2 linked regions of the Oreochromis niloticus genome follow. The protein of the gene in region 1 interacts with the protein of each later gene in a biochemical or structural test. Links are inferred from orthologs where the notes say so. Each region holds a gene or a part of one and is shown in the gene's direction. Other genes may lie near its edges. The genes, in order: pdgfra and pdgfc.

Region 1 (12,680 bases):
AAAGAAAAGAAGAGTGAATGGCGTATGTAATGCACGTTTTGTCAGAAATTTGAAGTGTTGTGGACACTAAACAATTTATTGATATAGTTGCAGGTGTTTCCAAACAGCTGTTCAGTAGTGACAAGTTTATAATTTTCAAATCTCACAAGCATATTTTAAATGTTTGCAATATATATATTTTTTTTAGGTTTTGTTTCAAAGATATTACAAAGTAATACTTCAGTCAGTGTGAATTTGCTGAAAAATTTCTTTGTAGAACTTTCTACACAGTTCTGAAAAGGAATAAATAAATAAATAAAAATTCCTGATTATTTTATGTTACCAGTCAAGACTTTTGTCAATTCTGCATAAAAAAGTAAATCTTGAAGCTGTGATTGGAGGCCCATATGAGATATCACGTGGTCTAGGTCACTGACAGTATAAACCCCAAGAGCCGGGTGCGCACGTGGGTGACGCTGCAGGGCCAACCCTCCTCGGGCTCTCTTTTGTTTGACCATCAAACATAAGCACCTTTGGAAATCCCGAGGGGCTCAGATGAGAAGCAGCAATCATCCTGCTCACGGAGCGATCACTTATCAGCGACGCAGCCATGTCGAGGTCATTTTATGTTGATTCTTTAATAATCAAGGATACGGTGCGACCTGGACCAACTGAGCATCCGGGACAAGACTTCCTTATTCCAATCAGCATGCACTCTCCGAGCGTAATGACTGTCACCGCTCCGGTGTGCCCCTCCAGGAAAAATGGGACTTTCTGTGTCTGTCCACTGTGCGTCACATCCCATATCCACTCTTCCCGCAGCGGCATTCCCATGCTGAAGAGTCAGTTTCCAGGAGCAGAGCCACAGTATTGTCAGAGAATAGCACATCAGCAGTCTCCTGCACTCGCTCACCCTGGACATACACCTGTCTGCACGCCCACCTTCAGCGTCACAGATCCCAGGAGATACCATTGTCTCTCTATTGGTAAGCACGTGTTTTCTACTGTCTCGGCTCATGACTAGAACTACTGTCCGGCACATATTTCTGTACTTATTAGAGCTCGCGTTGTACTTTGTAGCAGTAAGATCAATGGTATGCACTTTGTTTTTACGCACGACGATTTACGCGCGACATTTCGCCTGTCTTGGAATGACCGCACATTCACAGAGGAAGTACAGAACTAAAACATGACTCAAAAAATGTTTTTTTCCTCTAACAGGTGCCTCCGAGAATAACCACATACAGAATGGCAAGAGGATGCGCACGGCTTTTACAAGCACGCAACTCCTGGAACTTGAAAGGGAGTTTTCCACGAACATGTATCTTTCTAGACTCAGGAGAATCGAAATCGCTACATATTTAAACCTGTCAGAGAAACAGGTGAAAATCTGGTTTCAGAACCGCAGAGTGAAGCACAAGAAAGAGGGTAAAGCCACCCAAAGAAGCGCGCACAGTGGTTGCAAGTGCACAACCAGCCACACAGACTATTCAAGGTCAGAAGACGAGGAGTCTCTATCTCCGGCCTCAGTCTCGGAAGAGAAAGAGGTGTCTCCCATCTGAGAGCAACTCGACTCAACAAGTTCCACTGCTGGCGCGTCCTCTGCCCTGCTGCATTTATGGATCACGGCATCACCCAGCCCCTGAGCCAAATATCTGCTGCATGAAGCCTGAGCAGAAGTTCTGAAAATATTAATTGTTCTTCGCTTCATGTTCTTTATAATGTTCAAAACAAATGTTTAATGTTTAAAACCAGTGTGGATAGGTGTTCGTGAAATATTTGGGAACATGACCAACTATGTGACTGACGTTATGTGGATCCCCTTGAGGTTCTCACCTACACTACCTTGTTAATTATCCCCAGTAAATGATTTCAGTTATTGCCGGAAATCCTTTTACAGTCAGTGACGTGTAGCACAGAAAACCCCAAGAAATAGTAAAGGTCTGACGTGTAAACCCGAAACCTGTATGTAACAATTTGTAAACTTTGTATATCTGTATTTATTGTAATAAACATGACGAGTTGACCTAATAATTTGTCACTATTGACTTACTATGATTGATTATGCACATGCTCACCTGAATCTCTAATATCTGTAACACTGATAATGAATGCAAAGTGAAAAAAACGAATTTTTGAGTCTTTGAGAGTCGAGTTGATTTAAAAACTGCTCGCAGAAATGATTTTTTTTTCACTTTTCCATTAAAAATATGTAAATATTCAGTATTATAAGTGAATTATTACAAGGTTTCAAACGTACATTCGTTGTAATCTTATGAAGAAAAAAGGCCCCCTCATATAATATAATTTAAACACAATTACATGTTAAAAAAAATTAAAACACCACCTTAAAAAAAAGATAAAGTTGTTTTATTGTATTACAAAGACTTTGTACTTTCCTAGCCTCAGAATAAAAGCAGACACGTATCGCAAACTGGCTCATTAAACCGTGAGTTCAGTTATCTTTTAGCATTTCACCGAATTAAGGTGTTTCTGTCACGACAGCTATCATTATTAAGCTGTCATTCTTAACTAGTGGTCTTATTCTGTTACACCTCAATGTCCACTGTGCGTATTTTATTTAGGAACATTATGCAGCAGAGCTCAATTTACAAGATCTAGCTATCTAATTCAAAATGGATGAAGTGAGCTTTATGAAAGTGTAATTTCTCCTTAGATGTGACCACAAAAGGGTACCCGATAACGCCCCCGGGGAGCAGCCAATAGTCCATTAATGTTCGCTTTTGAAAAGATTTTGGTTGTCCAAAGCGAGTTTAATTGCGTTTTCGGTCCCACGTTGGTTGATTATGCTGCTATTGCTTGAAACCACAGAACAAGTATATATAGAAGTGGGCAAAGGCTTTGACAGGTTAGATTGTCCTGCCTTGGGACTCGCATTTAGCCCAGGACCCCCGACGGCTGTGTGCTGAGAGAGCTTTGAGAGACAGCTACAGGGTTCCTCCGAGCGACAGAGAACGATTTAGTCACTGTTTCATTAGGCACTATTTGAACCTTTCAACTTATGGTGAATTAAAGGGGGCACGCTCAAATGGAAAGGCTCTGAGGAGGGATTACGTAGGAGGGGCCACTGGAAATTAGCTGACGCCTAATTTAACTCGTTTCTGTCAGAGTTTGGGATACATTCCTAATTGAGAGGGGAAGCAGGTGAAGTTTTGGTCCCACGCAGGCCCATTCAGAGCAGGAATAAATGGTCCCCATTCACATCCCGCTGGTGATCATATATTATTGGGGGAAAGCCATCTAATGAATATATATTGAAGTTCCTATTAATCGAATTAGAGTTCCCTTGCAGGTGTGAAAGACCAGTGCAGCATTTAAAGCTATTAACAATAGAATAAACCACAGTTTCGACAAAGACTCTCCCCCTTTTCAGCCCCACAGGACGTGACCTCAAACTGTAAGGTCTATATAATGATGGGCTGAAGCTCCTTTTTTCCAGGTCGAACGGCTATCTCTTCTATAACTGTCACAATGACGAACTTTTCCGATCACACGGAGGTTACACAGCTATTTGAAAAAATGCCAGGCTGAGACTATGGAGCATACATTCTGCAGTAAAGGGACTATACCAACTAATGCACAGAAAAACGAGAGCACTCCAAAGTCGTCCTGCATCGGCCACCATTGAAAATACAGCAATTACGCATGACAAAAGACAATTAATAAGAGCGCTTTTGAGCCGGGTGCAGCTGCTGTCTCATGCGGAGAGATGGGCTGGAAGAAGCTGAAGTACCCGAGGGGGGTGTTGTCTTTTTTTTTTTTCTCCAGGAGAGGTCCACTTTATTTATTTGTCAGCAGTGTAGCATTCATCGTCCACACATATATCTATTCCATTCATTTAAATCACATATCAACGGGTTTGTTCCGGGACACACGCTCTGATCTCACGTTAAACAGCTGAACGTTTTTACACTTAAACGCATGAATCTTAAATTATGATACTGGGTTACTTTTTCGGACCAAGCTACAGTGGAAATTTGTACTATTTAGGCTATAGTAATTAACTAATATATGTATATGGTGGCCAATTTCCTTCTCTGTGTGTGTATGTGTGTGTGTGTGTGGGGGGGGGGTGATCTCTCTATGTGTGTTTGATATACAATGTGTGTGCGCGCGCATGTGTGTGTGTAAGAGAAGGAGGTGATAATTAATTATTACGTTGACCTTTCAAAAGTAAAAGTCAAGTGGTTACATCCATCTTTGTATAAACAGGGTCAGGTACATTCACACATGGAGCGCTATGGAGACCTCGTATATTTGCATTAATATCAGCTTAAATGAACTTAACTACATATATTACTTTTGTATGCTGCGTTGTTGATCCAAAATGACTCCGATTTTTCCTTGTTTACACTGTTTGGAGGTTTTTGGAATTGTTTTTAATATGCATCGTAATATAATGCGGGGTTCTGGTGAATGTTTAGCATGTTGTGTTTCATGCAGTCACTGTTTTCGTTTTCTATTGATCTATAAAAATCCACTTAATGCCTGGCCTTATAGAGAGGTTAGAGCTAAAAAGGTAAAGGAGAGGATTTGAATAGGTTACGGACAACTCTAGTAATTGCTCAGTTCAGCACCCTGGACAGCTCCCGCAAGGACCGCCCTCCAAAGGCCATCGTCCATCCAGTACTTTAAGTACTCACTTTAAGTACTTATCATGTCTATGAGACATGTTATGTTGTATATACATGTTTGTTAAAGTCAGTTGTACATTGAGCTTGCTCTAGCAAGAAGTTGTTTCTTGCTTAAAATGGATGTTTAAGCACACATCAAATGGAGGGGTGTAATGATTTTAGTTTCTCAGTCTTTTATTTATTTATATATATTATTTATGTTTATGTGTTTATTTGTTATGTAGCAACTGAACGTTGCCGTTAACATATAATTAAATACCGCTATATTTTTTGTCAAAGCCCCCTGGTGGAGAGTTGGTGGCAAGACAGTCACCATGCAGGAACTCTGGAGTTATATGCAGTATAGGCCTATATCTGGAATATTTAGGCGTTTGCTGTGCTTGTTATTTGTTGTGAAAATTAACTGTGATGATTTTTTCTTAAGAAATCTATTAGCGAAGCCTGGTATTTGCTTCATTTTGTGCTGAATTTATTCACACGAAGAAATAAGTAAATAAAACTTTTTTCAGTTTACCTGTAACGTTTTACGGAAGTTAGAACTGTTGAAAACTGAGCAGTTTTATCCCCCCAAAACGAGGCAAAACAGGTCTGAGCTAAGCTCTGCCTTCCGAAGTTGAGATCCTTTGTTTGGAGAACAAGGACACAGTTCTTTTCCCTAACATGTGGAAGTAATTGCGCCAAGGGGCCGTATGGAGTTGGGGGTGGGGGGTGAAACATCGGCCCCGGGGCCCTGCTCCATGCAAAGACAACGGTCTGATACCCCTCTGCTTTGCCAAAAGATAGGTGATTCACAGGGACCCATTCTTCTTTGTGAGCCCACCAGGAGAGGCCCGGGGTGAAGGGAGATACGGTGAAAAAATAATAGCCTTGGATGAGCACTCGGTAAACAGCTGACTCACGTGTGCCAGTGTGTGTGCGTGTGTGTGTGTGTGTGTGTGTGTGTGTGTGTCCCTCATCGAGAAGGCTCGAGTCAGAGAGAGAGAGAGCGAGAGAGCGAGAGAGAGAGAGAGAGAAGAAGCAAAAACTAAAAGGTAGGTGGTGATATGGTGGTGTTGGAGCGCCCTCTATGCGTTCCCGAGAGCCGCAGTTCGTGGTTTCCGACTGAGAACTGTATTCACTGTAGGGTACGGGGATCCTGCAAGAAAACATAGAAATAAGTAAGTTTTAATTTGAGGAAAACCCTTCATAACACGAATCACTAATAAAATTAGTCACAAAATGCAATATCCATCAAAGCTAAACATAATCACATACAACATAAGTTCCCCAAAAATATCTCATGAAGAGTTTTACTTTCAGAAGTTTTCCTATCCGACTAAAGTCCAGTGAAAATGCTATGTTGTGCCCAGATTTCAGCCGGCATATACGCCCGACTCTTACTTTGAAAAGGGTCTCGGAGCTCGAAAGAAGAGAAAGGGGAGGGGGGGTCATTTCCTGGGAGTTATTTACTTTGAGACAGATGATTACTTTTTTTCGGGTGGGAGGAGGGTGGACTGTAACATCGAATCAGTTACAGGTCGATGTAGCTGGAGCGCAGTAGTGAAGGCAGTCGTGGATGCGGACAGAGGGTGGCACATATGCTCTCACAGAGCAGGACCTCTGAGGATTATAACCGCTGCAAAGGACCCTTTATGCTGCGGCGTTTGGAGTGACCAATTCATTGTGGATATACTTACACGAAAGGAATATAAAGCAGGGATTAGTATAAGGTAATTAAGGGGTCGATTGAAACTATTTTTCTTAGTCTTTTGAAAAGTTGTCTCGTTTTGATATAATTAAAGAGTGGGAAATCTATAATAGATTACTGTTCTGTAAGATTAGATGGAGTTTAATTGTATTCCTAATTAGTTTAGCCAATTAATGCACCATATCATTTCGTATCATATTAGTAGAAAAGTTGATCTAAAAGTTGCATTCACTTAATATGGATCGCAGGGAGCCCTTCGACCCTGCAATTTGTATGCAGGCTTTGCATTAAACAATCCAAAAGGATTTTGGGGTTTGATTTCCTCTCCCCCTTGCACCATATGGTCTCACCCCTGGACGCCAAGCGGAGAGATCATGCTGACTCTGCTGGATAAAAGCGCTCGGTTTTAGGCTCACAGCTGGAGGTGTCAATTCGAAGACTGAAGGCTCCATTGTGGGATGCTGCTTGGCATTTAATGAGAAACACATTGGAAATTGTACATCACATTGTTTTCTAGTCTGTCCCTGGAATGTGAGGAATTAAAATGGAAAATCTGCACTGGGTGCACTTCAATAAGGCTGACTGGAGATTTCGAGCGGCAGCTGAACTGATCCAAGAGGAGAAAAAGAAGAAAGGAAGAACTTTTAGGGTCATGTCACCAACGGGTTTAACAGAGGAATACCGCTTGTGGTCAGAATTTCAAGAGTGAATACTCACAAGAATTTAAAACATTTTAACTGTATTCGACGGTTTCTTAGTTTTTTTTAATGGAAAATTATGGTACATAACTGACCCAGTGAGAGTTGAGATAAGCCAATATCAGCTGTTGCTCAACTGTGTCCAAGCCCAGCGGAGGATGCGTTTGCTCTGTGGCGCATTTGTTGAGTCTCCTGCTGGGAGAGCAGTGGAAATAAAAGTGGATCGGGACGTGCACGAAGTCTTACTGCCACTTTAGGCTCAGTCAGATTTACGCGCAGTGGCTAGAGAATTCTTGCCAAGCCAATGCAATTGAAAAATCCCCTCTCGAAATTGTTTGAGACAACGCGAGTGCACAAACATGCCAAACGGATTAGGCATTTTGTCAACTGATTCCCACGCGAATATGTACTTTTGTGCACACTGGGCGCGCTAATTATAGAGCTAAACAAACCCAGGTTACCCATGGATAATTTAGTTCTTTTCGACTGAGCCAGAGCGGGCAGCCACAGGAAACAGCAAAGGGACCAGCAGCTGTATTGTTTGGGACCAGGGAAGTTACAGAAAATGGAATCTAGACCTCCCCGTCACATGTAAAACCTATTTTGAGATATAACAAGAAAGAAAACTACTTAAAGAGAGTTAATTGAAGGGGAGCTTAATCTTTAACAGTTTTCTTTGAGTAAGCCACTCAAATTATGTTGCCCCTGATAAAAAAAGAAAAAGTAAAAAGATCCCTGATCGCCCATCAGCTTCAAAGAATATGGGGATCATAGTTGCAGAGCTACCTGAAAAAGCCAGACATAACACGATCTTTGTAAAGAATTGTTCGGAATAATGGGCTAAATTTGACAAGGTATGAGACCTTATTATCCAGTTGATAACAGTGTTTTTTTTAATGGGTACATTTAAAACTGTAACAAAAAGGGGAGAAACAGAACAATGTGCAACCAATTTGTGCTTACATTCCATGCAAAAACTAAATGTGCATCTATAAAGCGAAAAGATAAGCTTTAAGAGAGCGAGTAAGCAAGGAGGGGGATTAGCTTCGATGCACTTATAAGGCGGACTGTGTCGCCCTCTATCGATTGGGAACAGCAACCGCTGGCTCCTATTCAAAGTACCACGGAGTTATTAACCCTTTAAAACCCAGCGTATCATATTTAATGCATGTGTTTTTGTGAGTTTTTGAGACTTCTACATCATCAGCGTGACTTTTTTTTACCCTCAAAAATGATATGAATTGCATGACAATTTTTTAACGACTAAATTGTAAAAATATGGCTTGTGTAGCAAATGTGATACAAATTAAATATCATATATAATCAGATTAAAATTTGATATATTTTTATATATGTATTTTTGTCTAACAAACACTCCATTATCAAAAAATTAAAGATTTCTGGCAGTTCTTTCATGGTTCACATTAAAGGGGTTAAAGGCACAATTGCGAGTCACAATTTGAGAATCGTAATTCTCCTCTTAATAAAATAATGGATGCAAATCTGCAATAAATTTCATATCTGTACAGTTTCAGCACTAAAGCAATGTGTGGCACCACAGGCATAGCAAGCGCATGCTCGATATAATTACTTAAAGTTGGGCTTAAAGGAACTAAGAGTCAAAAATCAAAAGTGAAAACCCCACTGATCCATTTATTAAACATTAATGCTTTCAAATTGGATAAATCATGTAAGATCGGATAAAGTGTCCTCGTCTTTAGTAAATAACCGCTTGTCTTTACAGGTCAAAGCATCCATAGTCATGGATTGGCTGAAGACGTTTGTCCTCTTTGGGGGCAGTTTGGTGGTTTTGGTTTCAGGTAAGTAAAACAGTCTGCAGGTAAATCCTTTTGATAGTTTCCCAGCTGTTTCTCTGATGTTTACCAAACTGTCTCTTAGTTACCTCTGGACTGCTTCCACCAACCATCTTGTCTGACCAGGAGGAGTTTGTCCTACAGCCTAATTCCCTCTTCAATATAAGCTGCACCGCTAAAACACACGTGGTTTGGGAGGAACCGCTGCAGAAAAACGCCCTGGTTTATCCGGGGTATTACACTTCAACACTCTTCATATACAACGCAACGGTAGAAAACACAGGTTATTACACGTGCAAATATGAAGACCCGGATGAAGAACTGGAAGCTGATGAAGCAGAAATTTATATTTTTGTCCCAGGTGAATATGTTGGTGATATGCTATGATATACCATATAACGTTTGCTCGGGCGGGTTAGAGCACAAGAGTGAATTTGTGGGGGTGTCGGTTTTTCGCGTTCAGCGGGCGCCACATGCCATAGGCTGTGAGCGACCGCCACGGGACCCGTGGCCCTTTGCCGCATGTCTTCCCTTTCTCTCTCTGTCCCCGCTTTCCTGTCGTTTCTTCACCGAATCTATCAAAGTTGAAATAGGCCAAAAGAGTGAATTTGTTAATACAGCTTTAGAGACATTTAAAGGATATTAGGTTAAATTGTTCCTCACTTTAACAGAGCATTAGCAAAATGAACAAAGTCATGAAGCAAATTATAAAAATCCTCTTTTTGTACCTAGATCCACATGCTCCATTTGTCCCCGAGTTACCCACAGACCTGGTTGTCTCCGTGGACAATTATGGATTCAACATCCCATGTCGTGTGTCTCACTGGGACTCCTACGTCATCCTGAGAAAAGTCCCCAGTGGAGAGGCTTTGCATGCCTTATACAACAGCAAAGAAGGGTTCTTCTCAAACAACCTAACTCCCGGGCAGTACCAGTGTGAAACCACTCTGAATGGCCAGATAGTCCGAAGTTCTATTTACACTGTAATATCTAATGGTAAGTCAAGACAAGTGTAGTTGTAGTATGATATACTCTCTTTATTAAAAAAGAAATAGGAGCTATAGAGATGGTAAGTGGCAGGATAAAGATAAAAAAAAGAATAACTGAACAGCTGGAAACACCCCTGTTTATGAAGAGAAGGCTACAGGGTGATCTCACTGCATGACATTATGTCATTATTACAGAAGTGGGATGACTTCACATGCATGTTTGCACTCTCTGTGTGTTTGTGTGTGTGTTGGTGTATAACCACAGCTCTGCGATAAATCAAGTCACGGTAATCAGGCTGCCACACGTGATGTGAGAGATTGTGTTGCTGATAAATGCTCTCGCTGGTCCCTCTTTAGACCCTATGGAGGGGAAGGATTTTGACGATTCTGACATGGAGGTAATAGCCAGTGAAGAGACGTTGCGAGCAGGGCAGCCTTTCAACATCACATGCATCGTTCCTTCTGGCCTGGACTTTCAACAGCAGTGGCTCCATCCTAAAAAACAGGCAAGATACAGTCATTTCCCTCTGTGTTTTCCTATTTTAATTAAATTTAGTCTCCTATACAGCCTCAGCCACTTGTCCACTTCATCTTGCAGTGTGTCCTTCTACCCAGTGTCATTTCCAAGCCAGCAGTGCTGAGCCTTAAATAAGAAAATAATGGTTTTGGACCCAAAGCTAGCAGTGGCAAGTGGAATATAGCTCAGAGGACAGCCTTTAGTGGTTACAAATTATGTGTTAGGAAAGCAGCAACTGAAGGTTGGGTCTTTATTGTGAGGATGTAAGCCAAACACAGCACTTTTGCATGGAGTTAACTGCCACAGCTATCTTGAGGGAAAGAAGCAGTTTAAAAGAAGGGCAATAGGAACCATAGTAAATCTTTGACCCCACTGACCCTGAGACATGTTGTACAGATGTTGTCTGCACTTGTAAACCAGCTAAACATTTAATGCTTTTAAAGTGTTACGCTGAAGGGTCAGAGCAAGTTTCATTTGCAACTTATGTTTGTTTATATTCACATACTTAATCTATGTGGCACATTTTGCATGGGATTCCTTTAAGCCCTTTTCCAGAGATGTTCAGGGTAGGAACACAGGACTTATGACTCCTGGTTTTGGTCTCAGCTGCAATTACAGGCTCTTTAAAAGCCTCTGTGATCCTAATTTATCTCCTGTGGCCTAGCAAGTGTTTTAACCATTAGCCTTCAGCACCACGACATACAGATTCTGATATACAGATGTTGTATCTGTAAAAGGGAAAACTCGGTGAATTACAACATTCAGATATCATATTGCTAATATTTTTTTTCTCCGGTGATCTCACACTGTTCTTTTGTTTCTATAGGCTAAGGATGCAGTTTTGATGAAGGAAACTTTTCCTGAGCGGGTCGCCTACATCCTCAGTATCCCACGAGCCGCCTCACAGGACAGTGGCACCTATGAGTGCTCTGTTACAGACAAAAGCGGTGAGGTCAGAGTCAAAAAGGTGGCTGTGACCGTCTTTGGTGAGTCATCCCTCAGAAAGCTTTCCTAGATACCATCAATGAGTTTCCAGCAGAGCTGTAATAATGTGAATAACTGCATAAACGGCCAACTTAAAGTCAATTATATCATATATATTTAACATTCTCATCATCATTCAGGTCAAATTAGTAGTTTCGCATATGCACACAAAGTGCTTTCAGCAGTGTGTGGAAGTCATTTTCTGCTATCCGACCATAAAGCATCATCCCTGCTTTCAGCATCAGCTACTGTGTTTTATAGGATGGGTTCAACAGATGTGTGTCAGGTCTTCATTTCACCTTCAGCCTCCCTGTCAATGTGCCTTCTTCCCAGTCCTTGACTTGCACCACTGTTAACTTTTCCTCACTCACTTTAACCCATTTTAACCTGCAGTCGTCTGCTTTTTCCTTTTGCAGAGGAGAATTCCTTTGTGGCCATGGACCACAGTGGGATTTTATCCACAGAATTTGTCCACAGTTTTGAGGAGACAGAGTTTACTATCATTATTGATGCATACCCAGCCCCCAAAGTGACATGGATGAAAGATGGCAAAGACTTACAAGTGAACTACTACCTCTTTACTACTACTAGCCACCAGGGAGGAAATCGGTGAGGAAAAATATTCTTTGTTGTTAGATTTATAGGTAGGAAAATTCAACACTGACATTATTGTTATTTAGTTTGAAGGTCTTATGCTGGTTGTCTGACATAACATTTCCCATGAGAAGCAGCAAAACTAGCAACATTTTTTTAAAAAGACATGTATGACAATGAGATGTAAATATGATTTTAGTGTAAAAGTCCAGAGCCAGATTGGGTGTTTTCTGTCAACATGCTAAGATGGATGAGCTGGTGTCACCATAATGCTCACTTTACACATGTGGGAAACTTATTTAAAATTTATAGATATTTATCATTTTCTTACCCAGGTATCTGAGCACTTTGAAATTCAGGCATCCTCTGGAAAAAGACAATGGAAATTATACCATAATTGCTCAAAGTGGCTCTCACACTGCTCAGTTCTCCTTTAACCTGCACATGAAAGGTAAGAAAGACAGACTGGCAGACCATAGAGTATTTACGACCTATAGAAGATTTATGACCCACTGTATGTGTCTTCTCTCAGCTCCCACTGCAGGGATGATCCCATCATCTTCAGTCCCTCTGCTGCTGCCAAAGCTGGACGAGATGGTAGTTACTCTCCACACCCCTTTCACCTTGACCTGTCATGGACAGGAAAACCTGGGCTGGGAGACGCCAATCGATGTATCTGAGCAAACGCAGGAGGACCCCAACGGCTTGTTTATCAGCACCATCACAGTGGATAGTGCCACAGCAAGCCACACTGGCTACTACA
Region 2 (12,415 bases), on another chromosome or scaffold:
CAGTAGCGGCTGCACAGAACTGGAGAGCATCATTCCCATCAGCACCACGGACAGCCGCTCCCCGCCTCCACATCCACAGCCGCTGCTAAACGGAGACGTGACGGCAGGAAATAAAAGCTCTCTTTCACGCGATAGACGCAAACGCATCACTACTTATGGCTGGGACTGAGTGGTATTTAGCAGCAGATGGATGTAAAAAGAAAGCGTGTATTATGTCTATTTCCCATTTTCCCCCCAAAAAGCGTGTATTAGAAATTATGAATCCAATAAGATTCATACTTAAGCTTCTATTTATTATGTAGTAATAGATTGTTTGGTAAGCATGTGCCGTAGTAAGACCTAGACTATTTTAGAGATAAAAAGCTGACTGTATATATGGAAACGTGACTCATTAAATCAGTGACTAAGAAAATATAATAATATAGTCTGTGTTTCTATTATCCAGATAAAAATGATCACTACTTTAATTGCATAATGCAGAAGTCTCAAGCATATTTTAGTTTGTAGGACACAGAGCAATCTGATCTCACGTACTTTGGTGTAAAGAATCACAAACTCATTCTGAAGATGTTCATATTTCATAAACATTTACATTCCCTGCTTCCAAATCCTCAGCTGCTGCTAGTGTACATAATAGACGCCATACAGCCTTATATATTTTGAGTAAAGTTTTCATTATTTCCACATTAAGGCAGCCCACTGTAGATGCAAAAATTATCACCTCAATGAAATGCATTGGCACAGCTTCTTGGCTTAACCATCTTTGGTGTGGTATAGCAGACCACCGATGATGTCAAGACGTCAGAGTCGAGTGTGATTCAGAACTCTGGCTCACATGAAACTACCAGTGTTGACAGAAAATCTTATGACTTTCGGTCTCAGTGTCCCCGTGCAATGAAAGGGCATTTTTTGTGCGTGTGTGTGTCTGTGTGTGTGTGTCTTCATCAACTGTACTGTACTGCGAAACAACTTGAGCCACCCCTCATCTCTTTATATTTTGGGGGGAAAATGGGAAATTGATGCAGCAATTTATTGAAACATGTGCAATCATACATAGAAATACAGCACAGAAGGCAAAAACTGAGTTTGTGCAAATTTAACAAGCTTGAAAGTAAATATTTGGTATGACCACCTTTATTCTTCAACACAACCTATGCTCTGTTAGGAAGGCTCCCTTGTAATTTCTTTCATTTGTCTTTGGGAATAGCTTTCCAAGCTTCTTGACGGACATTCAAAGCACTACTTATGATGTTGGCTGCCTTTTTTGGGGAATTTGGTTCCATGCAGGTATGCTTTTTCTGCACTAGCAGTGTGTTTGGAGTCTATGTATATGTTTTTGATAGGCTGTTAGTAACAAAGTGTGGTTCTGGTTCATCCTTCAAGTGAGGTGCATTTTCTTTTTTACATGAATGTTTCATAGGTCAGTGTTAAGTGGTTGAACAGAATAAATAAATACATACATTAATAAATCTTATGAAAATCCTCAGGTACAAGGACTAGACTGAAAATGACTGATAAGACGGTCAATGTCACAAAAAACTTTAAAGACCTTGAAAACTATGGGGAACTATTACTTAAGACCACTTTAAAAATTGCAAGCAAGTCTGACTCTTTGGAAGCAAAGTATTAAAAAAAATGGGTTCAGGGCTCAAGACTTTTGCACAGTACTGTATGTATTTACACTTAGAGCCACCACTGAACTACAAAAATGCTTTGGTTTCATACATGTCTTAGATTGTCACACAGTTTCCATTAGAAGATGGGGAAGGGAAGTTAGAAAAATGGCAACTTGAACATCTGTGAGTTCATATATGAACTCACAGATGTTCAAGTTGCCATTTTATTGGCTAAACTGTGTCTCCTAATGGGAGTGTGATGCACTATAAAGTTACTAAAAGCCCCAGAACAACTATTTAATGGACTTCTGGTTCTCAAATGTTGTTATATCCAAATTCAACAATTTAGATTTACCTGCTACATCTGTGCTGTCAGCCTGTTTGTTAAAACACATTTAAGATTTATGGCAGGAAGAAATGTCTTTTTCATTTTGCTGTGGAGTAATTGCTGTTTATATCCAGATTGAATGCCTGAAAAAATAAATGAAACGGAGAATGGCTATATAAATGAATACAGATCTTAAATCATAATCATTGACTGTGACAGAGTTATTGGCAGAACACCAAATTGCTACAAACTCATCGAATATTATCACTTCAAATGGTCATACCGTTAATTTTTATATTCAGTCTAAAAGCTATTGTATGTAAAGTGATTTTATGGATCATATATAAGACTTTTTACATAACCTGTGACTGATGTTCCTCTGTGCTGGAAGTTTTTCTGTTAAGCTGTAAATAAATATTAATCTAAAAATGTCTTTTTCCTCAACGAAGCAGTTACTAAGAGGCTCAGCTAAGCAGTGCACATTCTGGTCTGACAGTACGGCCTTTTGTATATGTCTGTGAGAGAAAAATGCATAGTGTGACTATAACATAAGTACTGTAAAGCATGTTTAGGCGGGTTACTGTACCTGCCAATCACTTTAAGGATTTTATTTTCATTTTTTAAGAATTTAATGAAAAGCAGAAAAAAACTGAACACTGACTGTATTATGACAGGGTGTTATTAAATCTTAAGGATTAAAACAATGAATAGTTGAGTCATAGTTTCCAGGTTTAATTCTTTATTTATTGAAATGGTTGTTGACTATTGCAATGAAATCTGTCTTTAAAAATAGGTTTCTGCCAGATGTTTCTTCCTGTTGAAAGGTAGTTTTTTCTTCCCACTGTTGCCAAAGTGCATGCTCATAAGGGGCTCATATGATTGTTAGGTTCTCTTTGTAAGTATTATTGTAGGGTCTACCTTACAATATTAAGTGCCTTGAGGTGACTGTTGTGATTTCTGTTGTTGTGATTTGGCGCCATATTAATAAAATTGAATTGAACTGAATTGAATAGGTCACAAAACAACTGACAACCTGGTGGATGATAAAGAGGACTTCTTATTTACCGTTCATGTCTGCACAGATTTGAAAGTTCTTCTAACTAACAAAAAACACACACACATTAAGAGGGAAGGGAACAGTAAGGCTGATTTTTTTATTTATTTATTTATTGTTCTTTAAGTACAAAAAAAGAAAAATCCACTGAGCTGATTTTCCCCACAGTTTTGATCCATATCTCATGCATCATTGTGTCAAACAACTTGTGCGGTCTCCCCAACGATGATCCCCGTGGTATGATTTTGATTGACAAGGCATTCCATTTGCATACACAAATTAATCAGTACCATATGCATAGAGATTAATGATTTATGTCACAGGGCAAAGCTCTGCTGTTACAATAAAGAGGCAGCCATTCAAGCGCAAGGATTCTTTTGTGTTGTTTAGAAAAATGTTCGCTGGCCAGCTGGCTATGAGCCATGAGTGTGATGGACAATCATATGCCATTCCAGAAATATGTCAGGCTGGATTGAAACAGTCAACTGTGGTATAATACAACCTGGCATGAAAACCAGATTTCTGCTACCACTGCAGCCCTGAAGAGTTATATGTGTTGTCACATTGTAATTCAAATGAAAAAGAAGTTTTTGACAGATCTGGAGACAAAGAAGTGTTACTACTAAGCATCTTTATTTGTTTATTTATTTACTATGTGCTGCTTAGTAACAGGTTTGTTTTCATCTCAGAAGGATGGATCAGTCTTTAACTAAACCGAGAGTAGCTTTGCTGACAGCGCTTTAATTCAATGATGAGATAAATTGTTTGGAAGAGGAACAGGTACATGTCATAGGAGCTGAGATAAGAGCAGCGAAAATGAATAAGAACTTCATGTAAATCATGAAGGATGGAGATAAAACAATATTTACTGCAAATACAGTACATCAGTTTGATGTTTCTGAAGAACATGTGAGGTTTGTATTAAGGTGACTGCTGTCAAAAATACAGCTACAGACATTTTCTATTTTACTGTGTACAAGTAAAATATATTTCAAACTATATGAAGGTCTGGAACATGTTCATCAGTACATTCAAAAGGCAGTACGCTGACACATACGAGGATTAGTATCTTCCAACTTCAAGTTCCTGGTTTATTGATTAAAGTCTTTTCTCTCTGCATGATGGTTTCTCTGTCTGACCTGTACACACACATGATCTTGTCAGTAACTATTTTACATTCAAGCAGTGTGCTCATATGTCAGTAAAGCAATAGGTGAGGAGAGACATGCACAGGGTTGCAGGCTTGCAGATTTAAAAGTAAAATTCATCACTGCACTGTCCTGGATTCCAGTTCAATAATGTATTGATGAACTTTGGCATTGTAATATGAGATCCTTGGATCATTAAATAAGCAGATTGCTATAATGGAAACTGAGTCTTCCTTGTCAGCAGATGTTTAGTAAGTGCAACACTATCCAAAATTATGATGGAGGCATAGAGCCAGAAATCTGTTAAGAAGGAGGTTTCGTTTCAAATATTTTTGGACCACTTTCCTGAATAAGGATTGTGTAAGGGGGAAAATCCTGAAGGACAAAAAGCTCTTTCCAAACTGAAATGTCTAACATGACTAAACAGTTACACTGAATCAAGATTTTACAAATTAAATTTTTAGCGATTCTGTTTTAGTTGGTTCCAACAAGATTAACACCAGAATTATTTTTTAGTTTTTCAATGCCTGTGATATTAACAGAGTTCTCAAAGTAAAAATCTGGTAGATATCCAGCCAGGTGTTCATCCCAGCTTGCACCACCACACTGCAGACATTCGTTCTTTCTCATTTTCAGGGCATCAAGCAGCAATAACAAATATAGTCAGACAGCATTATTAAACTAATAATTGGATTTAAACTGAATTATATTCAGGTTTTGCTGTGGCGGGAACTCAGCTAAGCAATTATATTGGACAGCAGTGTATTTGTTTTTGTGTAATTTATGCACAACTGAAGCCAAACTGAAGTCATGCACTTCAATACTTTTTGCAAAACCTCCAACAGACTGTACCTTTGACAAGAAGGTTATTTACTTGAAATGACCTAAAATGCAATGCAGCTTGTGACAGTTTTGATTTGTGAGGTTAACCATGTAAAATTAAGATTACTCATTCAAAATAACTGGACTATACAGTGCATTAACACATGAATATACTGTGTTTACAATATTACTGATGATCAGTTTATGACTTAAGCATATTTATTTCTACTACAGCACACTTTAGAAGGAGCAGCATTGTGTCCCTGAACACCTGAACATGATAAGCAAATCTGATTTGTTTTAACCTGGAAATATCTTGAATCATCAGATAAAATATGCTTCCCCTGGTGGAATCAAAATGAGTTTGTTTTGAAAAAAAAAAAAAAATCCACACCCTTTGCAGTATCATCAGGAAGTTCAAGGGGCAGAACATTGCCTGTAGCTCTGAGGGGCACCACCAGGGGGCTCTGGTCTCAAAGCCAAGTACAGCCAGGGGCAATTATTGAAACTTTTCACTTATCAACATGAGACCTTAGTATCCATAAAACACCAGAATGTCTCTGATATAAAAGTGTGACTGCGTGGTGAAGGTCAGTGCGCCTTTTAGATAATGAATATGATGATATAACAGCTGGTCAGGTACAGAGATAGAAGTATGTGTTGTGTGTGTATGGGTGTGTAAATAAAATGATTTACTGGACTACACAGATAGAACAGAAGTTCATGCTGTTGCAGCAACTGGTTTTACAGTATAAATTAAGTAATTTAACATTTTCATTCTCTTGTGTTTCTCTTCACCACAAAGGTGTTTTTTTTAAAACCCTATGACAGATGTGTTTTCTAATAATGACTGATCTTTGAGGGCATTTGTTTGCTTGGCAGAATGCATCCCATAACGGTAGGCAAGTCTAAGGGGATTTAGGCAGTATATGATGAGTGTGAATTCTCCATTGTATACATTTCCACTTGCACTCTGCTCAGTGGACACAGAGCTCTCCTAGCTGGCTTGTCTCTGCATGTTTGGCGTGACCCAAATAGCCTAACTTGTTTCTAATTTCCTCTGTTTATTATATTTCTTTGTATCAAAGACTTTGCGTTTCACAAGACCACCATGGAAGCGGCAATCAAATGTGGACAACAAGACAAAATACCCAGCTTTTACAGACAAAACCTCATGGGGTGAATGAGTGTGTGTGTTTTTGTGAAAGAGAGAGGGATTCCACGATGTGAAGTGCTGACATCTGCTGCAGGCGCTCGCAGGGCTGGAATGTGATACCCTCCTTTACACAAAGGGCCTTGGCCCTTGCAACAGGCACATGAAGACCTCTATATGCCCCTCTCCACAGGGGCAACACAAGTATGAAATGACTGCATCAATGTCCCACGCCTTCTTTCCTGAGCCATTAACTTTGATTAAAACCACAAAAGCTTCCCTTCTTACCTTGATGCTGGAGAGATGGTTGCTCTATATTCTCTTTGAGTTGGTAGTTTCTAAGCTATGTGAGACTGGGGGTAAATTGCTGCAGCATTGCATCATGTGTCTGGCTCAATGGGTTCAATATGTCTCCAGCTCCCCTTTGATTGTTGTGTCTGTGCTACAGCAGACTTACCATACAGCAGGGGATACACTGTTGCATTTTGCCAACAATAGGATGGGAGGAACCACATAAAACACAGTTGATGAGGTACAACATTGTGCTGGGGAGAAAGGAAATTGGGAACAGGAGGGAGTATTGTTTCAAGCGGTGTCTCTGCTTTGATATGACAAATTGAGAACCTTAAACATTTCCTTCCACAGAAACATTCCAGGAGAGCACAAAACTGCATATTAAAAAGTTTTCTTTTGGGGCGCATTTATCTTTCATTCAGTGAATCAAGGTTTTAAACAATTACTCAGTGGTTAAACAATGTTACTTAGGAATGTTATATGGAAGGTTTTAGTCTGAATCATGGGACTCCTGATGTGAATATATACTGTGAACTGCATTGTATATATTATACACTGGATGGACCGTGATTTAATGGGATAAAAATGCAACCAGGCCATGGTGTTGTAGCCCAGTAAAATAAGCAGAGAAACAGATAAAGGAGTACTGAGACAGTGGGTACAACTCGTGTACACACAGCAGAAAGTGAAATGTGTCCCTTTAAAAAAAAAAAAAACACACAAATAGCCTAAAATGTCTCCTTCACAGTTTTTTTTGTATCTCTACTCTTATATTTTTATATTTACAATATAGGCTAATCGTTTAATCTGGTGTTATAGTGTTTTAAGTTATTCTTTAGTTTTAAAGATATATTTCCAAAAGTACTACAGCTTATTTAAACCTTATCCTTAACAACAGACGGTGTGATCTCGGGAGGCTGAAACTTTTGGCTAGAAATTATTTAAAAAGTGTGCAACCATCAAACAAACAAAACAAAAACAAAACATAAAACGAACCCGTAAGGGAGTGAAACACCTCGTTAAACCAGGCAGCAACTGAATAGTTAACATCCTGGGAGTTTCCTCCGCTGAGAAGTTGTACTTTATGTATAGCACCTGTTGTGCCGTCAGTTGCCAGTCTCCAAAAAGCCAACCCCGGGCGCGCAGCGATATTTTATCTCAGACTCCAAGTTATGACTCTAGACTGCGCCAGACAACAGAAAACGTCTCGGTGCTGCGAACGGTTTCTGAGTACAGGCTGTATCAAGTTGCTTCACTCTCTCGCTGTCTCTGTGTGTGAGCCTTTGCTGTAATGCGTAAAGATCTGCAGGGATTTATCAGGCGGAGTGAAGAACGCACCGTGGACGCGCGCTTTACCCAAAATGCAACTGTGTCTTTCTAATGTTCTCGTCTCGTAGATGATATGCGTGCACAAGGGTGGTTTTATAACTAATACCGGGATTATAACAACATTAAAGTAAACTTTGCTCAAACTTCCCATTGAACCAACAGGTGCGCATTTGCTCTGCGCAGCAGCGGCAGGTTCGGAACCTCTGCAGAGGAGTCGTTCTAACTTCTCAAGTTAAAATTTTGTTCCCGAACTTTCTTCCGAAGGACTGATGCTTAAAATTAAGTGGATTTTACTCTGCGTTTATCCTCTCCAAATGTGTCCGAAACAGCACTGGTGTCCTGTAAACGACGCATGTGTGTGGTGATACAAACCGTCCCGTCTACAGCGCTTTGTGATCGCCGGCTACCACTCATCCAAATGATCCTTCCATTAATATTCCTTCTTGCATCGCTTCTCCAACAATATGGCTCAGAAGCTGAATCAAGTAATGTCAGCAAATTTCCCCTACCAAGCGTAAAGGAGCATAACGGTGAGTTTTCGATGCATTCTCGTTCATTCTTAAAAGTTCAAACTTTTGAATGATTGCTCACACAACCTAGATGCTCATTCTTACTGGGCTTAAAGACATTCCTTTCAAAATGTAGATCTTTGTGCATTTTTGAATGAATAGAAGCATTTTATTTAGTTCAAACAGTATTATCCAGGATAGGAAGTGCAGTATTACCCTTTACCTTTAAAGTGTACCCCGTATGCTTAAAAGGGGAAACCCTTCTGAAATTCCTTGCCCCTCGGGAGAAGTTTTTCTTGTGATCATAAAAAAGGCTCCATTCATTCAGGAGCAGTCACTCAGGGCGATGTAATTTGGGACTCATGTGAAATGACTCCAATGAACTTCACTAATTCTGAAATCCTTCCCCCCGTTTTTTCACTGTTTAATTTTATTTCCATGCTAATGACAAGAATATAACTGTGCTTAGCTAAGTAAGTAAATAATTAGCCTCCAGTGATTGTTTTGCCATCATGGGGAATTTGACAGTCTTTGTTGTTCTTTGTTGTTGTAAGGATCTTTCAGATCTTAATTCAGTACTTAAGATTGTGTATTATGATTATTATTTTCAGCTTATTTTAAGTTTTATATCTTGATCCCTTATGTTCCCAGTGCTGACATTATCTCTTCATAACAAACTTTATATATCCTGCATATGATTGACGAAGGTTTATAAGAATTACAAAACAAGCCAAGACATGCTGGTATAAGAAATGTAAGTCCAAAAAGCTTGCCATAGAATAGTTTATGTGTGAACTGACCGATCCTGTGCATGTGAGCCTTTTAGTCAGGAGTCCTAAAATGTGATGTTTGATTATTATTATGCTTACGTGAAGCACATAACAAGTCATAACATAGAAGCAGAGTATGTATCACATAGCTTACAGTACCTATATCTTGTAGATATGGTTAATCTTCATACATTTCTTGATCTTCAGTAACCAGTAGGTTTGACTCGACTTGTGTGAGGACATGCAGCTCTGACTTCACTACAGTAACAGGCAGGGTTGGGAAATCAGAGCCTCCTGGTGGGATATCCAGGTTTAATCAGGACGACTGAGAAAGGAAAACAACAGAGAGGAGGGAGGGAGGGCAGGGAGAGTGATGAAGGAGGTGGAGGGGAAGTGTGGTGGGGGAGATGTTAAACTGTCAAAGAACTCTTTAAAAAGGCGGTCACACTTTGGCTGAGGGCAAAGCTGGCCAGACCGTCTGTAACCTTTGACTGGAGTGTCTGAGTGCTCTATTCTGCTGTGCTTGATTGCAGATGCTCTGTGAGACAATTTGATATCGATCTGACGGAGGGGAGAAAGCCAGACCTGTCTGGCATGTTTAGTAGTAGTTGCCTGGAGAGTTACGGTCCCCAGTCGTATTAAACTTGGCAAGCGGCTGCTGATGACTCCATAAGATATCAGAGGGCACCATCTCCCATTGAGAGCCAGAGCTGTGCAGAGTAACCATCTGTCACAATGAATGATTTGGACAAAAACTCTCAAAATGAACTCTGAAATCTAAATTCTGTGTTTTGGGGTGATAAATAACGTCAACATTTCCTTCGTCCACTGGTGAGAATTATGTTACAGTGTTGTGTATGTCATTTTTATGTGTTTGCCACATGACTATAGGGTTTCATGGTTATTAAGAGGAAACGCTGCTAAAAATGACTTCTCCAGTCACTACAAAGAAGCCGTGTAGTGTAAGGTTTTCAAAATGAAATAGCGCTGAGGGAAAGTCCATGTATCAATCTAGCTCAAACGCTACCCCAGCCTTTGGTCTTCAATTTATTTTGTCTTTTTTTAAAAACATATTGTTTTATAAAAGGTAAAACTGGGTTGAACGCTGAAAAAGTCAGAAACAACAATGTTGTCCTGTTTTTGCCAGAAAGGCATACCATCATGGTGCAGGACATTTAAGCCTACCTTTCTGGACTGAAGCAAATAACAGCAGAGAATCTGATCCAGCGAGTATTACTTTCATTCTCAAGCATTTGCAAGAGGAAATCAGGAGTTTATATCATCATAAAACATATTTTACATGAGACAGGATTTTGATTTGTTATGAAACAACATGATTCACAGGCTGTATACTATGATGTACCACTGATTGACTTATTATTTAATAGCCTATAAGCTTGTTTCATTATGCAGTGATGGCCTGATACCAGTTGTCAACACTGCACACCCAGCTAAAGCTCCATCTCAGCTTCCCAATCACACAGGTCATCTCAGGGGCACCTCTTATATCACTTCTCTGAGTTAAGTGGTTTGCTTTCTCTTACCCGTAGAAGGCCAAGTTTTTTTTGCCAAGGCCACCCATAAGCACAGAGCCAGATATTTTCAGAAAAATCCAGCAACAGATATTTGTAGGAGATGTGGATTACCTGTGATATTCCCACATAAACCCCCCCCCCGAGCACCTCTGGAGGAAGGTATGCACCACACTGGACCTGCCAATGATCACAGAAGCTGCTGTTCCGCTAAAGATTAAGAGATTAGAGGGAGGACTGGGGTTATAAGGGTCAACGGCCTATGGGGAACATATGCAGTGTACCACTTATACATAGATGGAAGACAGAGGAGCATTATACATTCAGTATATTATGATTATGATATAGACAAACAAGACATTTGCACCGGGAACATACTGGGTGGCCTCGTATGAATCATGACTTTTTCAGGTGTAACAGAGTACAATATGTGTTCATTCTCCAATAGCTGAGAACAGCTGTTAATAGCATATTTGTAGAGTAGCAAAGTGGGAGTAGTCATTTTGGTTGCTGGCAAAATCCTATTCATTTAAGTGATTGACAGCTAAAGTACTTCTAAGGCTTGCCTAGCCACAGTATTTAAAAGATTACCAACTGCCTTGAGAAATACTTGGTAATTTAATAAAGAGTCAAAGATCTTAGCCTGTGTACAAAATCACTTAAGGCAAGAAGTAAATTGCAACTCCTAAGAAGCATTTTTTGTAAGAAATATTTCATCATAGAGCTGAAACGTTTATACTGAAGCTAAATTAAGTTTAGTTTATTTGGCTTAGTGAAAGCACTTTTTTGACTTTGGGTCAACTTTTATTCAAGGATTAATGCATCTTATAACTTTAATTGTACTCAGTGGAGCAGGTGTTCATGACAGAGCTTTAAATTTGTATCTTTCTCTCTCTAAAGTTGAAATCATTTTAAACAGCTGACACAATGAAAATATAGTAAAAACATAAAAAAAACTAATATAAAATCACTGTCCCACTCTTAAAGGTGAAACAAGCATTTCATACAAATTATGATACTATTATGTCATCTCATACCATATTGTACAGTATGCGTATTGTGTAATTGTTAAAGTTAAGAAGAAGTATTATGTTTTTGTTTTTTATTTTTTTTGTTCTCAGCCCACTGTTACAAAATCTGCCCTGACAAGACCAAACATAGTCATTTGTAATGGGTCAAGCCTTTTCTACTAAACGTGACCAGCTGGCATTCGTGTATCCACCATGTTATTTTAAGTGGTTTCCATAGCGCTTAGCTCTGGGTTTAAATATGAAATTACGACTATGACTCTGAAAACCAGTCAAACAAAACGTGCCTGCCTTGGAATTTCAACTCATTCTTTTATACAGGTTAGATGTTTCCTGACCCTGGGAAAGCTTGTTTCCACTTAGGGGGATCCATGCTTTGATGGATATGCTTGAATGAATGAATGCAGCACTATGCAGTTAATCATTGTAGTGGGCAGTGCAATAGCAGCCGGTATGCTTGGCTGAATTAAAACCATCAAAGAAAATGGATGGCTCGAATGTTCAATAAACTCAGTGGGAAGCAAAGAGGGCAGAAGTTACACCAAGGAGATCACTATAGTGAGATGAAAAACACAATTATAAGGAGAGGTTGGTTTATCAGGGTTTTTTTGCTGAGTGAACGTGATGGATTTTTTTCATTTATAAAAACGAGTTTGGCTTCTTTTCCCTGTCCAATATGGAAGTCACTAAATACATGAGCTTCTGAGTAACCATTTAGTGTTAGTAAGAGAAAGAAAAATGCACTTATGTGAATTTTCCACAACAGTAGCAGTAGAAACCACTGGATACAGGCAGGTCTATGTCTTCTGGCAAGAGGAAATTTTCCCCTCAA

Evidence for each region.
Region 2: the proteins of pdgfra (region 1) and pdgfc form a complex in vitro, tested with the Homo sapiens proteins (2 studies listed by BioGRID and IntAct, with this or other methods). The link is inferred for Oreochromis niloticus from reciprocal best matches to the Homo sapiens genes PDGFRA and PDGFC.

Annotation. Positions count from the first base shown.
Region 1 is NC_031986.2:37,579,182-37,591,861, forward strand, and holds the start of pdgfra (platelet-derived growth factor receptor alpha), read left to right. Parts: upstream 1-6,125; 5' UTR 6,126-6,343; intron 6,344-8,763; 5' UTR 8,764-8,781; coding exon 8,782-8,839; intron 8,840-8,918; coding exon 8,919-9,194; intron 9,195-9,565; coding exon 9,566-9,829; intron 9,830-10,179; coding exon 10,180-10,328; intron 10,329-11,165; coding exon 11,166-11,325; intron 11,326-11,739; coding exon 11,740-11,932; intron 11,933-12,252; coding exon 12,253-12,368; intron 12,369-12,449; coding exon 12,450-12,680. Other genes in the region: gsx2 (GS homeobox 2), read left to right, coding at 590-965, 1,201-1,541. UniProt on the Homo sapiens protein: Tyrosine-protein kinase that acts as a cell-surface receptor for PDGFA, PDGFB and PDGFC and plays an essential role in the regulation of embryonic development, cell proliferation, survival and chemotaxis.
Region 2 is NC_031966.2:13,013,916-13,026,330, forward strand, and holds the start of pdgfc (platelet-derived growth factor C), read left to right. Parts: upstream 1-7,532; 5' UTR 7,533-8,096; coding exon 8,097-8,274; intron 8,275-12,415. UniProt on the Homo sapiens protein: Growth factor that plays an essential role in the regulation of embryonic development, cell proliferation, cell migration, survival and chemotaxis. Potent mitogen and chemoattractant for cells of mesenchymal origin.